2 linked regions of the Oryctolagus cuniculus genome follow. Each later gene encodes a partner of the first gene's protein in a complex. Links are inferred from orthologs where the notes say so. Each region holds a gene or a part of one and is shown on either strand. Other genes may lie near its edges.

The links.
Region 2: the proteins of BCKDHA (region 1) and BCKDHB are in contact, whole or in part, in a crystal structure (PDB 1V16), measured with the Homo sapiens proteins. The link is inferred for Oryctolagus cuniculus from reciprocal best matches to the Homo sapiens genes BCKDHA and BCKDHB. Residues at the interface, in NP_000700.1 of Homo sapiens: Phe155, Leu185, Gly186, Lys187, Arg189, Gln190, Gly196, Cys197, Lys198, Phe202, Val203, Thr204, Ser206, Pro208, Thr211, Pro214, Gln215, Val217, Gly218, Ala219, Tyr221, Ala222, Arg225, Gly244, Asp245, Ala248, Asn251, Phe252, Thr255, Leu256; in NP_000047.1 of Homo sapiens: Pro89, Thr90, Val92, Asp117, Arg118, Phe120, Asn121, Thr122, Pro123, Cys125, Gln127, Gly128, Ile129, Gly131, Phe132, Ile134, Gly135, Ile136, Val138, Thr139, Asp158, Gln159, Asn162, Glu163, Ala165, Tyr167, Arg168, Tyr169, Arg170, Ser171.

What each region holds. Positions count from the first base shown.
Region 1 is NC_091449.1:13,102,653-13,110,047, reverse strand, and holds the start of BCKDHA (2-oxoisovalerate dehydrogenase subunit alpha, mitochondrial), read left to right. Parts: upstream 1-2,330; 5' UTR 2,331-2,383; coding exon 2,384-2,482; intron 2,483-2,677; exon of another isoform or gene 2,678-2,700; intron 2,701-7,395. Other genes in the region: EXOSC5 (exosome complex component RRP46), read right to left, coding at 1,735-1,966. UniProt on the Homo sapiens protein: Together with BCKDHB forms the heterotetrameric E1 subunit of the mitochondrial branched-chain alpha-ketoacid dehydrogenase (BCKD) complex.
Region 2 is NC_091436.1:92,364,990-92,372,401, forward strand, and holds the start of BCKDHB (2-oxoisovalerate dehydrogenase subunit beta, mitochondrial), read right to left. Parts: upstream 3,875-7,412; 5' UTR 3,782-3,874; coding exon 3,586-3,781; intron 1-3,585. UniProt on the Homo sapiens protein: Together with BCKDHA forms the heterotetrameric E1 subunit of the mitochondrial branched-chain alpha-ketoacid dehydrogenase (BCKD) complex.

The DNA of each region.
Region 1 (7,395 bases):
GTTCTGGTTCTCCCTGTGGGTGGCAGGGGTCCAGGCACTTGGGCCATCTCCACTGCCTTCCCAGGCACATTAGCAGGGTGGTGGACTGGAAGTGGAGCGGCTGAGAGTTGAACTGGGGCCCGCATTCGATGTCAGCACTCCGGGTGGCGGCTTAACCTGCAGTGTCCCCGGAACACACTTCTTGAGAGTCTGCAAAGCACTGACTGTTATTCCACAGGGTCCTATGGTTTTGCAGTTTTAAAATTATTTTTAAATTTTAATTAATTATTTTGAAGGCAGAGTGACAGAGAGATAGCGAGAGCTTCCATCTGCGGGTTCACTGTTCAAATGCCTGCATCAGACAGGACTGGTCGAGGCTCAAGCAAGGAGCCTGGAACTCCATCTGGGTCTCCCATGTGGTTGGCAGGGGCCGCACTTGGGCCACCACCCTGTTGCCCTTCCAGGTGCATTAGCAAGGAGCTGGATCAGAGGCAGAGCAGCCAGGGCTCAAACGGGCACTCATGAGACGCCAGCCAGGCCAGCAGCTTAACCGGCTGCATCACAGCTCCCACCCTGCTCTGGGGTTTCAGACCGTGGGAAAGGCTACCTTTCTCCTTATTTCTTGTGTTCTAAAACACCTCAGCAAGACAGCCAAGCTGGAGGAGGGCTGGGCAAGTCTCCAGGGAAGAGACAACCGGGGGGGGGGGGTTCTGCTCCTGGGAGACCCAGTTTGCCCTCACCCCGGGGTGCTCTTAGTTCGGGGAGAATCTGTCCACCCGGAGGAGGCACCTGAGCGGAACCAGGTCCTTGCTGGGGTCTTCACTCCTGCCTGTCCCACCGGTACACGGACCGGCCTCCCTCCACTCCCGGCTTCCAGGCCACGGCTCTGCCAAGTCTCTTCTCTCCACCCCGCATCCATCACCAACTGCTGCCCCACTCCCAGCCCTTCTCACAGAAGCAGTCCTTGAGAGCAGTCTCCACTCACGTCTCTTCTTCCTCCCCTCCCGGCCCCACCACTCCGCTGCCGCAGCCTGGAGCTTCACCAAGGACCCCCAGCGGCTCAACCCTCCCGAGATCAGCCCCCCTTTCAGACCGGAACAACTGGGCGGCCCTTTCATCTCACACCCTTCCTCTCGCCTCCGGGACACCTCCGTCTCCTGATTCGTCCCCTGCCGCACCTGCCGCTGGGCGAGCTCTTCACACTTCCGGGAGCTCTCAAAGTTGGGGGGGCCCGGGGGTTAGTGCTGGGACCTCTTCTCTTTTCTGTCTACGCTCATTTACTCGCATGGAAAGATGCGGATATTCGCTCACTTGGTGGGGTGGGAGTAGGGGAGTACCTGTCAAAGGTGAGGGCGTCATCTATACTATACTTGGGGGGTAATATGTGCCCCGCTCTAGGGAGGAATTAAACCCACGGCGATGACCCGCCTACTCTACGCGGCATTTATGCAAACAGGCTGAGAGGGGCGCGGATCTAGTAAACGGAGGTGATTTACCCGGATAAGACCTTCCGAATTCTGGAAGTCATTCTTGCGGGGGTAGAGAGCGCTCCCTCCCGGTCTGGAGGGGGACGTGTGTATGCGGTGGATCCGGTAGTATCCACCCGAGCAATACGTTCCGCGGCAGTGAAGGAGAGGCAGGGGCCAGCTCGCATAGCGGCGAGGTCGGCCTCAGTGTTCCATAGCCCGCTCTCCCACACAAACACCAAATGGGTGAACGTGACCGGGGCGGTACGCACCTGGGTTAAGTTCTTACCTTGCAGGAAAGAAGCAGAGCCATCCGGCCTGGACAGCAGGTTCTGTTCGCAAGCAAAGTGCCGGAGGCTGCAGCCAGGGCCCCGAGAGCGACACTCTGTCCCAGTGTCAGCGTGGGCATTGGCGCCAGCAGCCACCACCCCCTCCATAGTCCCAGAGCCCACGTGCAGGCCGGACCGTCGCTTCCGCCCAGCAGAGTGCGCTTGCGCGCAAGTTGCGTACCCAGTGCGCATGCGTGGGTCCGCTGGCTAACTGGGCGCGCGCACGTGGGTTAGGGTTTACAAACAAATATGACTCCGTCCGCTCCCCGCCTCCCCACTAAGGCAAAGCCATTGGACAATAGAGGAAAGGGGGCGGGCTTTGGCACGGGCTCGTCCTACCCAAGGCCCCCGGGCCTTAAACCTCGGGCGTCCTGATAAGGTTGCCCTCTTCTTTGCCTGTTTACATGATCAACTACAACGGGGCTATCTGAGTAATTTTGGAAAAAATAATTCACCTTCCTCACACATTTACGCGTACTGGCGTAAGTGGGACTGGAAGCAGGTGTTCTATGTCACAGTGGTGCTGGCAATTGAATCAGGCTCATGAAAGGGCAGCCCCCGGTCTAGGTTAAAGGAGGGGGCGGGTCGCCGAGTGGGTTGTAAGTCAAGATGGCGTTAGCGATTTCCGCGGCGAGGGTCTGGGGGCCTAGGCGCCAGGCTGTGCCCCTGTTGCTGCGGCAGCTTGGGGCGCGGGGGCTGACTAGATCCGTGAGTACTTGGGGCCCCTGGAAGTTTTCCCTAAGGAGTAATAGGGCCGTAAAGACCCTCTTCGGAGCGTCACCTGCAGGGTATGCAGCAAGGGCTGGCAATCAAGGAAGCGAAAAAGGATTGGGAGAGCGCGCGGAGGGGCCTCGCGAGGGAGGAGCTTCCACTGAGGAGGGGAAAGGCGAGGTCGCCCCTCTGCGGGCTCTGAGGGAGGCGTAAGGGTAGGTCTTCTCGCTCGGCGGGGCGCGGGGACGGCGAGACCGTGTCCCTCAGGGGCTGGAGAACGGACTGACGTGGCCAGGGGAGAGTTTCTTGTGGATGGACGTTCTCGTCCAAGCCGAGAAAGGAGGAATGCGGTCCAGTCGCGGGCTTGTATGGGGTCTTCATTTCTTTGCTCCTTCGCCTCAGTTCTCGGTTTAAGACGAGTCGTGGGAGGAAGCCATGGACTCCTGCGTGCCCTGAGGGGACGTCGGCAGGCAGGGACTTGACTGTGCTTGGGACGCTACCGAGGAGGGCAGCCATAAGTATTTGTTGAATTTACGAGGGAGGAGAGGACCGGCCGGGGCATCTGCCCACATTTCTCGAAAATCCTTGAGGAATTTTTATTTCTTGTCCAAAGGGTCCGAGGGCCTTCTGGTAGAAGCCGCTTGGGGTAAAGTCGCCCCGCGGACCCTCTGGTGGGGAGAGGGGCTGACGTGGACCAGGGAAGGGCCTGAGCTACAGCCCGGGGGGCTCACAGCCCTGCCGTGCCCCTCGGTGAACCCTTAGGGGGTGGTTGTGAAAACACGCGAGGTGTGAGAACCAGCCCTGCAACAGGAGTGTCGGGGCGCGACCTTGGCGAGGGGAGCGGAAAGGAGGTGGCTTGAACTGTGGGGTTGGGTCTGAGCCCCAGTGTGTGAGGCAGGGAGGGGAAACCGTAGGGGGAATCTCTGATAGAAAGGAGGGAAGAAGGGTGTGAATGCTTGGAAGAGAATCACCTGAAGCAGGTAGAGGCCGAGGAGGCGCAGGTGCAGGGGGCGGGGCAGCCTTCTGCCTTGGGGCTGTTCTCTTGTAGTGTTTTTTTTTTTTTTTTTTTTTTTAAAGCAGTCAGAGCCTCTACCGTTGACCTCATTCCCGAGAGCCCACTGGCTGGGCAAGTCGGGTGGGAGGTGGGCAGACTGGGGCAGGCCAGGGGAAGGTCGTTTGTGTCTGATTAAACCTGTTTCTGTTGGCTCAGTCTCCTTGTTGCCTGCCTGCCTTCATTTTTTTTTGGGGGGGGGACGGATACTCATACTTTTATTTATATATGTTTACTTAGTTAAGTTTCTAAAGATGTATTTATTTGAAAGTCCGGTAGAGAGAGAAAGATAAGATCTTCCTTCTGCTGGTTCACATCGCAGATGGCTGCAATGGTTGGGGCTGGGGCTGGGCCTGGCTGAAGCCAGGAACCAGGAGCTTCCTCCAGGTCTCCCCTGCGGGTGCAGGCCCAAGCACTTGGGCCACCCTCCACTGCTTTCCCAGGCGCAGTAGCAGGGAGCCGGATCTGAGGTGCTGCAGCTGGGAAAGTGAGATGCTGGTGTCACAGGTTGCGGCTTTACCTGCTATACCACAATGCTGGCCCTGTTTATGTATATCTTGATTTATATTTTCTTTTTTTTTTTTTTTAAAGGATCTATTTATTTATTAGGCAGAGGCAGAAAGAGAGAGGTCTTTCATCCGCTTGTTCACTCCCCAAATGGCCAAAACAGCTGGAGCTGCACCAATTCGAAGGCAGGAGCCAGGAACTTCCAGGTCTCCCAAGCACTTGGGCCATCCTCCACTGCTTTCCCAGGCCATAGCAGAGAGCTGGATGGGAAGTGGAGCAGCCGGGACTCAAAGTGGCGCCCATATGGGATGCCGGCGTTGCAGGCAGTGGCTTTACCTGCTACGCCACAGCGCTGGCCCCAATTTATATTTTCTTAGAGTCACTGTCTCCCACCTGTATTTTTGCCACCTAAGATTTTAAAAAGAGGCTCCACTTTTTTAGTGTAGAGAAGGGACATAGCATTTCTTTTTTACAAGATTTTATTTATTTATTTTGAATATATATTTATTTATTTGGAAGTCAGAGTTACACAGAGAGAAGGAGAGGCAGAGAGAGAGAGAGATCTTCCATCCGCTGTCTCATCCCCACTTGTCCTGAACGGCCGGAGTTGCGCCAATCCGAAGCCAGGAACCCGGAGCTTCCTCCAGGTCTCCCATGAGGTGCAGGGGCCCAAGGACTTGGACCATCCTCTACTGCTTTCCCAGGCCATAGCAGAGAGCTGGATCGGAAGTGGAGAAGCCGGGACTTGAACTGGTGCCCATATGGGATGCTGGCACTGTAGAGGGCGGTTTTACCTGCTACACCACAGCGTCAGCCCCAAGATTTTATTTGAGAGAGAGAGCTATAGACCAAGAGAGGGAGAGACAGAGAGGTCTTTCATCTGCTGGTTCACTCCCCAGATGACTGCAATGGCCGGAGCTGGGCCAGTCCAAAGCCAGGAGCTTTTTCCAAGTCCCCACCCCACCCTGGATGCAGGGGCCCAAGCAGTTGGGCATCTTCCACTGCTTTCCCAGGCCATTAACGGGGAGCTGGATTGGAAGAGGACAGCCAGGACAGGAACCGGGGCTTATATGTGACGCCAGTGCTGCAGGCAGAGGCTACTATGCCACAGCACCAGCCTGGAGCCATAGCTTTAGTTAAAGAAGATTCTAGGCCAGGGTTGTCCAGTAGAACTAACTAACTTCCTTATTTAAAAAAAAAAATATTTGTTTTATTGATTTGAAAGGCAGAGTTATATATAGAGGGAGAGACAGAGAGATATATTCCATCTGCTGGTTCACTCCCTACATGGCCACAGGGTCATGAACTGGGCTGATTCAAAGCCAGGAACCAGAAGCTTCTTCTGGGTCTCCCACGTGGGTGCAGAGGCCCAAATATTTAGGCCATCTTCTGCTGCTTTCCCAGGGATTAGCAGGGAGCTGCATCAGAAGCAGAGCAGCTGGGACTCGAACCCATGCCCACGTGGGATGCAAGCACTGTGTGTGGTGACTTAACCTGCTACCCCACTGCACCGGCCCTTCTTCTTTAAAGAGATTTATTTGAAAGGTAGAGTTAGAGAGATCTTCCATCTGCTGGATCTCTCCCCAAATGGCTGTAATGGGCAGGGCTGGGCCAGGCTGAAGCCAGGAGCCTGGAGCTCCATCTGGGTTTCCCACATGGTGGCAGGGCCCAAGCACTTGGGCCATTCTCCACTTGTTTCCCAGGCGCATTAGCAGGAAGCTGTATCAGAAGTGGAGTAGCTGGGTCCGGCACTGTGGCGCAGTGGGTTAAAGCCCAGCCCTGAAGTGTGGGCACCTGTTCGAGACCTGGCTGCTCCACTTCCTGTCCAGCTCTCTGCTAAGGCCTGGGAAGGCAGTAGAAGATGGCCCAAGTCCTTGGGTCCCTGCACTCACATGGGAGACCCAGAAGAAGCTCCCGGCTCCAGATTGGCACAGCTCCAGCCATTGCAGCTATCTGGGGAGTGAACCATCAGATGGAAGACCTCTCCCTCTCCCTCTCCCCCTCCCCTCCCCCTCCCCTTCCCCTCCCCTCCCCCTCTCTGCCTTTCCTCTCTCTGTGTAACTCTGACTTTCAAATAAATAAATAATAAATCTTAAAAAAAAAAAAGTGGCTGGCGCTGCGGCTCACTAGGCTAATCCTCCACCTGCGGCGCCGGCACCCCGGGTTCTAGTCCCAGTTGGGGTGCCAGATTCTGTCCCGGTTGCTCCTCTTCCAGGCCAGCTCTCTGCTGTGGCCCGGGAGTGCAGTGGAGAATGGCCCAAGTGCTTGTGCCCTGCACCCCATGGGAGACCAGAAGAAGCACCTGGCTCCTGGCTTCAGATGGGCACAGCGCACCGGCCATAGCAGCCATTTGGGGGGTGAACCAATGGAAGGAAGACCTTTCTCTCTGTCTCTCCTCTTACTGTCTAACTCTGCCTGTCAAAAAAATAAATAGATAAAAAAAGACCTCTCTCTCTGTGTAACTCTTTCAAATAAATAAATCTTCGAAAAAATAATTTAAAAAAGTGGAGCAGCTTGGACTCGAAGCAGTGCTCATATGGGATGTCACTGTTGCAGGCTATAGCCCAGCTCACTACACCACAGTGCTGGCCCCAAGAACTTTTGGCAGTAGTTGAAATGTGGTACTGCACACTTTAAATGTAGCTGGTGTTGGGCCGATGCTATAGCGTTTGTAGTAAGCTAAGCCTCTGCGGCTTTAGCATTCCATATGGGCACCAGCCAGTTTGTGTCCTGGCTACCCCTCTTCCAATCCAGCTCTCTGCTGATGGCCTAGGAAAGCAGTAGAGGATGGCCCCAATACCTGGGCCCCTGCACCTGTGTGGGAGACCCAGAAGAGGCTTCTGGCTTCAGATTGGCCCAGCTCTGGCTGTTGCGGCCATTTGGGAAGTGAACCAGAGGACGGAAGACCTCTTTCTCTGTCTCTGCCTCTCTCTGTGACTCTCTCTCTCAAATAAATAAAATCTTTAAAAAAAAAAAAAATGTAGGGGGCTTGAGCCATGGCTTACTTGGTTAATCCTCTGCCTGCGGCACCAGCATCCCATATGGGCTCTGGGTTCTAGTCCTGGTTGCTCTTCTTCCAGTCCAGCTCTCTGCTGTGGCCCGGGAAGGCAGTGGAGGATGGCCCAGGTCCTTGGACCCCTGCACCCATGTGGGAGACCAGGAGGAAGCACCTGGCTCCTGGCTTCGGATCGGCGTGGCGCTGGCCATGGCAGCCATTTGGGAAGTGAACCAATGGAAGAAGGACCTTTCTCTCTCTCTCTCTAACTCTACCTGTCAAGTAAAAAAAAAATTTTTTTTTTAAATGTAGCTGGTGGGCCTGCACCGTGGCTCACTTGGCTAATCCTCCACCTGT
Region 2 (7,412 bases), on another chromosome or scaffold:
AAAAACATCAGCTGTAGCATGTGAGAAGCTATTGGACAAAGAAATGACAGACGTTGGCCGGCGCCGTGGCTCACTAGGCTAATCCTCCGCCTAGCGGCGCTGGCACACCGGGTTCTAGTCCCGGTCGGGGCGCCGGATTCTGTCCCAATTGCCCCTCTTCCAGGCCAGCTCTCTGCTGTGGCCAGGGAGTGCAGTGGAGGATGGCCCAGGTGCTTGGGCCCTGCACCCCATGGGAGACCAGGAAAAGCACCTGGCTCCTGGCTCCTGCCATCGGATCAGCGCGGTGCGCCGGCCGCAGCACGCCGGCAGCGGCGGCCATTGGAGGGTGAACCAACGGCAAAGGAAGACCTTTCTCTCTGTCTCTCTCTCTCACTGTCCACTCTGCCTGTCAAAAAAAACAAAAAAAAAAGAAAAAGAAAAAAAAAGAAATGACAGACGTTTCTTACTCTTTACTGGTGTGGTAATGACAAACACTGGGTCCTTGGAGGAGCAGATAAAAGTCACATAAGAAATGGTACACAATGCCATCTCACTGGTCCAAGTGATCAATTTCTGTTCACAATTGATCATAATGATAGGATTAAGAGTCAAAGGGATCACACAAACAAGACTAGTGTCTGCTAATACTAACTGATAGAATCAAAAAGGGAGAGAATGATCCAACCTGGGAAGCGGGATACACAGCAGACTCATAGAATGGCAGATGTCCTAAACAGCACTCTGGCCTCAGAATCAGCCCTTAAGGCATTTGGATCTGGCTGAAGAGCCCATGAGAGTATTTTAGGCATGGAAAGCCAAGACACTCTGGCAAAAAAAAAAAAAGAGGACCTAAATGACAGATCCCTGTGAGTGAGATCCCAGTAGAAAGAACGGGCCATCAAAGAAGGAAGTACTTTTTTTTTAAGGGAGGAGAGAACTTCCACTTTGACTATGACCCTGTTGGAATAAGATCGAAGTCAGCGGCGAACTCAAAAGGCTTCCATATCCTTAGCAACTCATGACTAGAGCCTAGGGAGATTACTGACACCATAAACAAGAGTGTCAAATTGTTAAGTCAACAACAGGAGTCACTGTGTACTTACTCCTCATGTAGGATCTCTGTCCTTAATGTGTTGTTCAATGTGAATTAATGCTATAACTAGTACTGAAACAGTATTTTTTCTATTGAAACAGCGGAATGCAGTGGTTTGTCACAGGGAAGAGAAGCAGAGAGTGTGCCCTGCGAAGGTCAGAGCCAGCTGCCCCACCCTCCAGACAAGCAGAGAACAGACTCAAGGCTGGGAAGAGGTACAATCAGAATTGGGGTGGCGATGGCAGGCAAATTTCCAGTCATGTACAGTTTTCAACATTATCGTGATTACAGAGTAAGATAGCACTCATTCTGAAAATTACAGGTCACAAAAGGGAGTGCTCAGCCCTCCCCCACCCACATTCATAAAAATACACTTGTCGCTCTCCCGTGTTGGGAGGAGATGCACACCAACCCACCCGACATCAGGAAAGGGGCTCTTGTGACACATTCTGGTTTCAGATTCTGGAAAAAGAGCAAGAACACAGTAACAGAGGTGGTTCATTCATTATGCCAACTCATGAGCTGCTGAAATTCATTCTAAACACCCTCCGTAGCAGTGGCTTCCAGGAAATCCACACAGAAATGTTGCAAGGGGTCCCCCAGCCCCTCCGGAGGCAGTGCAGGGTCCAGACGTCAGTGTCCACGACACACACATACACACACGCCTTCGTCCCTGGTGAGGCCCCCGGTAGTCACCTGGCTGGGAGGGGGAGGAGGAGGTGAGGGGTCCAGGTAGGGCTCCTTGGAACGGGGTACGGGTGAGACAAGCTAAGGGGACAGAGTGACAGGTGTACCTGTCGGGACAGCTAGAGCGTTATCTTAAACACGTGAAGAAAATCGCCAAAGAGTGAAACCTCATTATGGGGAGTGGGGGGGGGGGGGGTTAAGTTTGGGAAATTAAAACAATCCAGTGGTCACTGGATATCTCCCTCTTTTTATCAAAAAAAAATTTTTTTGTAGTTTTTTGGAAAGTATTTTTAAGGAAACTTTTTTTTTCCTTTGGAAAAAGACATCTTTTTCCCCCCTAACCTAAGCAAGTGGAGTTGCCACTACTAATTCATCTCTATTGCCTGCTAAGAGGTAGATAAAACAAAGTGAAACGGGGCTTCTAAAAGGAGGTTCATCAGCGGGTGGGGAGGGGCCGGCTTCGCCTGGTGACGCTCCCCCACCACCAAGATGTCTGCGTGCGGTGGAGACCCGGACCTTGAACCACCTCCCACGCCCCCGAGTCAGCCGTCCCACTGAAGACTGTGGGGGGACCATGGGGGAGGTGGGGGACCCCAAAGACACGGCTGAAAAGGGTCTGAGCTCTGCCCCCCTAGCTTCCTGATGTTAGGGCCGAGTAATGGGCGCCAGGCTCAGACCCCAGCCCGCGCAACCCCTCTGGAAGCCGGGGCGGCTATGCCTTTCCTCCCATCTGGTCCAACACAGCTGTAGCAGTGAGAGCTGATGGGGCGGAACATGGGCAAGGAAGGTCGGGGGTGGGGGCCGGAAGAATCAGCCCCCCGGGGACCCAACCTGTCTGAGTGGGGGTCCTGGCAGGCCTGTCTGTCCCCCGAGGACAAACCTTTCGTGGCACAAGCTTCAAATTCACTTTCGGCTGGGATCCATACCCTGATGCACGAGTCCCTGCCCTCAGCTTCCAATCTGAAACAGTATTTTACACTTTATGCTCTGTATGGATGCAAAATGATGAAATCGTTACTTAATTTATACTAAATCGATCTTCTGTATATAAAGAGAATCGAAAATGAATCTTGATGTGAATAGAATGGGAGAGGGAGCGGGAGATGGGAGAGGTGCAGGTGGGAGGGAAGTTATGGGGGGGGGGGCATTGTAATCCATAAACTGTACTTTGGAAATTTATATTTACTAAATAAAAGTTTAAAAAAAAAGAAATGGTACAAGGCACGCAACATCTTTCCTGTAGCTTCCTATTCCTTCATCCATTACCCCTCCTTGGCTAAGTGGTGGCACAACCCAGAAAAAGGTCAGGACTGGCCTCAAACAGGAAGCCTGGATTCATTCCTATCTGTAGGAAGAACCTGTTATGTGACCTTGGTAAAATTAATACAGCTATTTTATCCCTCAGTTTCTTCTTAGGATCCAAAGGCAGGGTCGGGTGGGGGGAATCTTTCTTTCATATGCCGCTGCTTAAAGTTAGTGGCCCAGTTCCAGGCAAGCTGGAACAACACATAAGGCCTGGGTTACGAAAACACTGATGGAGGGTGAAGGAAGAGAGGCGTTCCCTGGGCACCACCTCTCCACCCTCAGGCCCTTCCAGAGCGCGGTATGGCCTCTCACCCATCTCAGGGGTGCAAGGGACTGCGTCTCAAGGGCTGAACAGCCACAAAATCAGAGCCAGGAGGGAATCTCAGCCCGACCCCGAGGCAGAAAGGTTCCAGAGAGTTATGCAAGGATTAAGCCCGGTGCAAGATCAGCCTGCAGGCCCTCGCCCGCGGGCCCGACAGGCTGGGCTGCAGCGGAACCGGACAGGGTAGCCCCAGGCTCACCGTACTCCCGGGTCTCCGGGTCAGGCTGGAAAGTGAAGTGAGCCACCTGCCGAGTCTGGGCCGCATCCTCGCCAGCCGAGGCAGGTTGCAAGAAGCTCCGGGCCAGCCCCGTGCCACGCAACCGTCGCCAGTACCCCTCAGCCCCGGCTGCACGGAGCCGCAACAGCCGGCCCGCAGTCACCGACACAGCCGCCATCCCTGCTCCGTGCCTGGGTTAGCAGGCAATGCAGCCGCACGCCGGGAGCGGGGAGGGCGGAGCGACAAGGAAGCTTCCGCATTGGTTGAGGAGGAGGGGCGGGCCTGTGAAACGGACCAATCAGGGTTAGAAATTCGGGGGCGGGGACGAAGACCCGGCAACGAAGCCGCCTGTGTGCGTTGTGCGCATGCGGAAGACGTACCTGGGGGAGTGCAGGGAAGCGTGTGAGCGCCAATGAAATTGCTCCTGAGGGGGACCTTCCCAAAGTCAGCTGTGTGGACTTGGGGAGAGGACGTGGGTCTGCGGGGTCCCACGCTATGTCTGGATTAATTCTTCTACAGTGTCATTTACACTGCCATTTATAATGGGTTTTTCGTTTCGGTTTGTACTTTAAAAATGAAACCTTTTTCTTTCCTCTCCTATTCTTTGACTCAAAGTGAAGATTGGAAAGTGTTCATGATCAGCCTTGAGCTTCAGAAAACTGCTGGTTCACACCTTCCCTGAAGTACTTAATAAATGTGTATGGATTTGTATTGGTTTGATTTCTCTGGCTATAGATAAAAGAGGTAAACTTAGATTTCATCCTGTAAATCCAGTTAGGAATTTAGACGCATTTTTGCCTAGACGCTGCAAAAATTACCCGGGGTACCTTAGAAACCTGAGAGTTTGAGTATTAATTTACATTTACAATAATGAACTTTGTAAATTTCCTTTTTCCAAATCCAAGTGTTAGAAAGATTATAAATTGCAGTCAAATCCATTATGACAAACACAAATGTAGAAGTATGTCCGTTAGACGAAGGTGGAAGGGCAGCGAAAGACAGTCCCAGAATGGAATTTGAAGAGAGGGGAAGCGAATGTTCCTTCTCTGTTATTTCTGACATCTCAATCCCTCTGGTTTTACATGGAGGCAAGGGAGGAGAGAAAATAAATGAGGTTAGAGGGAAAGCAGAGAGGTACCAGTTGCCTGTTTTCTGACTGGGATTGAGAAACAGCAAAGAGGAGAATCAAAATTATGTCTCTATTAGTCATACTGCCACACTAAGCACAACATGTCAGTATTCAGGGGATTTTTAATCTTAGTTCTAGTTAGTGTTCACTTCCACTGTTTTAATGGTGTGTGTCTGTGTGTGTATGTGTGTATGTCTGGTGGTTCTCATTTTTACATGTGTAAAGGATATTTTTATTTTAAGACAGAAGAAACATGACAAATGAAATTGCCCTTATATAGTGAAATTTAATTTAAAAATAAAAATTTAATTTAAATATAGAAGACAAAGAGTGAATCAAGTTTTCTTTTCTCTGTTTGCTAATAGTCTAGGGAGCTGGGGTGCTGACATGACTTGGAACTAGGAGAAAAGGGAAAAGTAATAAAAAGATGATTGTATTGCCCCTCTGTTATATTGCCAATCCAGTCAGACAGATGTGATCAAGAGAAAGAAGGCAGATTAGATGATAACCACAAGCAAGTGTAATAGGGGCCCTAGAACCGTGCAAGCAACATGAAACACCCAGTAAGAACTAAACTCTGTTTTTGGAAAGTAACACCAAATGGGGCCTAAAAAGGTGAGTAGAAGTTACCAGGCAGACTAAGGAGAAAAAAGTACTCCAGACAAAGAAAAAAAATATGGACAAAAGCTCATAGTCATGAAAAGAATACCATGCATTCTAGGAGAAGAAAATCATTTGGTACAGAGAGAGACAGAAGGGTTAGCAGAAAAACTAGAAAGTATAAAGAGAGAGGTTCTGAAGGCCTTTCACACTGGCCTAAGAAGTCTGGGCTTCCAGCTATCTGCAGTCATGAACAAGAAACAGAGCACCTAACAGATTTGTCTGCCCAATAAGCAACTGTTTTTGGAAATTTCCTTATCTCCACCAAACCATCTCTCCGGTAACCATGGAAATGTCTATGTAATGTCTCCCTCTCCTTCCATTTATGGTCATGTTTCATTGATCTTAAATTGGAGTGAGGTGGACATTATGGGAAATGGTGGCTTGATCAGAATAGCCCTGACTGTTAATGAACAACTTAATACATTATCCCTCTTAGTAGTTTTTTTATCTGTTCTACTTAATATGACTGGTTTAGTTCGGTAATTGATGCACAGTTATTCTTAAGTGTTGAAAATTAACTGAAATGTGATCCCTGTTGAACGTGGGAGTGGGAATGGGAGAGGGAAGAGATGTATAATTTGGGACATGCTCAGGCTGACTTGCCCCAAGTGGTGGAGTTGGAAGCATACCAGGGGATTCCAATTCAATCCCATCGAGGTGGCATGTACCAATGCCATCTCACTGTTCCAGGTGATCAATTTCAGTTCACAGTTGGTCATGGTGGAGGGACTGGGAGTCAAAGGGAGCACATAGACAAGTCTAGTAACCGATGGAGTAAATAAAGGGGAGAGTGATCCAATATGGGAAGTGAGATACTCAGCAGACTCATAGAATGGCAGATGTCCTAAATAGCACTCTGGCCTCAGAATCAGCACTAAAGGCATTCGGATCTGGCTGAAAAGCCCATGAGAGTATTTCAGGCATGGAAAGCCAAGACACTCTGGCAAAAGATCTCTGTGAGTGAGATCCCAGTGGAAAGAACAGGTCATCAAAGAAGGAGGTACCTTCCTCTGAAGGGAGGAGAGAACCTCCACTTTGACTATGACCTTGTCTAAACAAGATAAGAGTCGGAGAACTCAGAGGGCTTCCATAGCCTTGGAAACTCATGACTGGAGCATAGGGAGATTACTGATGCCATAGACAGGAGTGTCAATTGGTAAAGTCAACAACAGGAGTCACTGTGCACTTACTTCTCATGTAGGATCTGTGTCCTTAATGTGCTGTACATTGAGATTTAATGCTATAACGAGTACTCAAACAATATATTTCACTTTGTGTTTCTATGTGGGTGCGAACTGTTGAAATCCTTACTTAATGCATACTAAACTGATCCTCTGTAAAAAAAAAAAAAAAAAAAAAAAAAAAAAAAAAAAAAGAAATTATCAATTCCCAACTTGACTCTCACTGGGATTAAACATGACAATAGGTCTGCTCTGATTTCATCATCATTTAAAAAAATCATCTATTATTTTTCACTTTATGTTTCTGTGTGGGAGCAAACTGTTGAAATCCATACTTAATGTATACTAAGCTGATCTGTATATTAAGATAATCGAAAATGAATCTTGATGTGAATGGAAGGGGAGAGGGAGTGGGAAAGGGGAGGGTTGTGGGTGGGAGGGACGGTATGGGGGGGAAGCCATTGTAATCCATAAGTCGTACTTTGGAAATTTATATTCATTAAATAAAAGTTTAAAAAAAAAATGGAGCCGGCGCCGTGGCTCAATAGGCTAATCCTCCACCTTGCGGTGCCGGCACACCGGGTTCTAGTGCCGGTTGGGGTGCCGGATTCTGTCCCGGTTGCCCCTCTTCCAGGCCAGCTCTCTGCTATGGCCAGGGAGTGCAGTGGAGGATGGCCCAGGTGCTTGGGCCCTGCACCCCATGGGAGACCAGGAAAAGCACCTGGATCCTGGCTCCTGCCATCGGATCAGCGTGGTGCGCCGGCTGCAGCGGCGGCCATTGGAGGGTGAACCAACGGCAAAGGAAGACCTTTCTCTCTCTGTCTCTCTCTCTCACT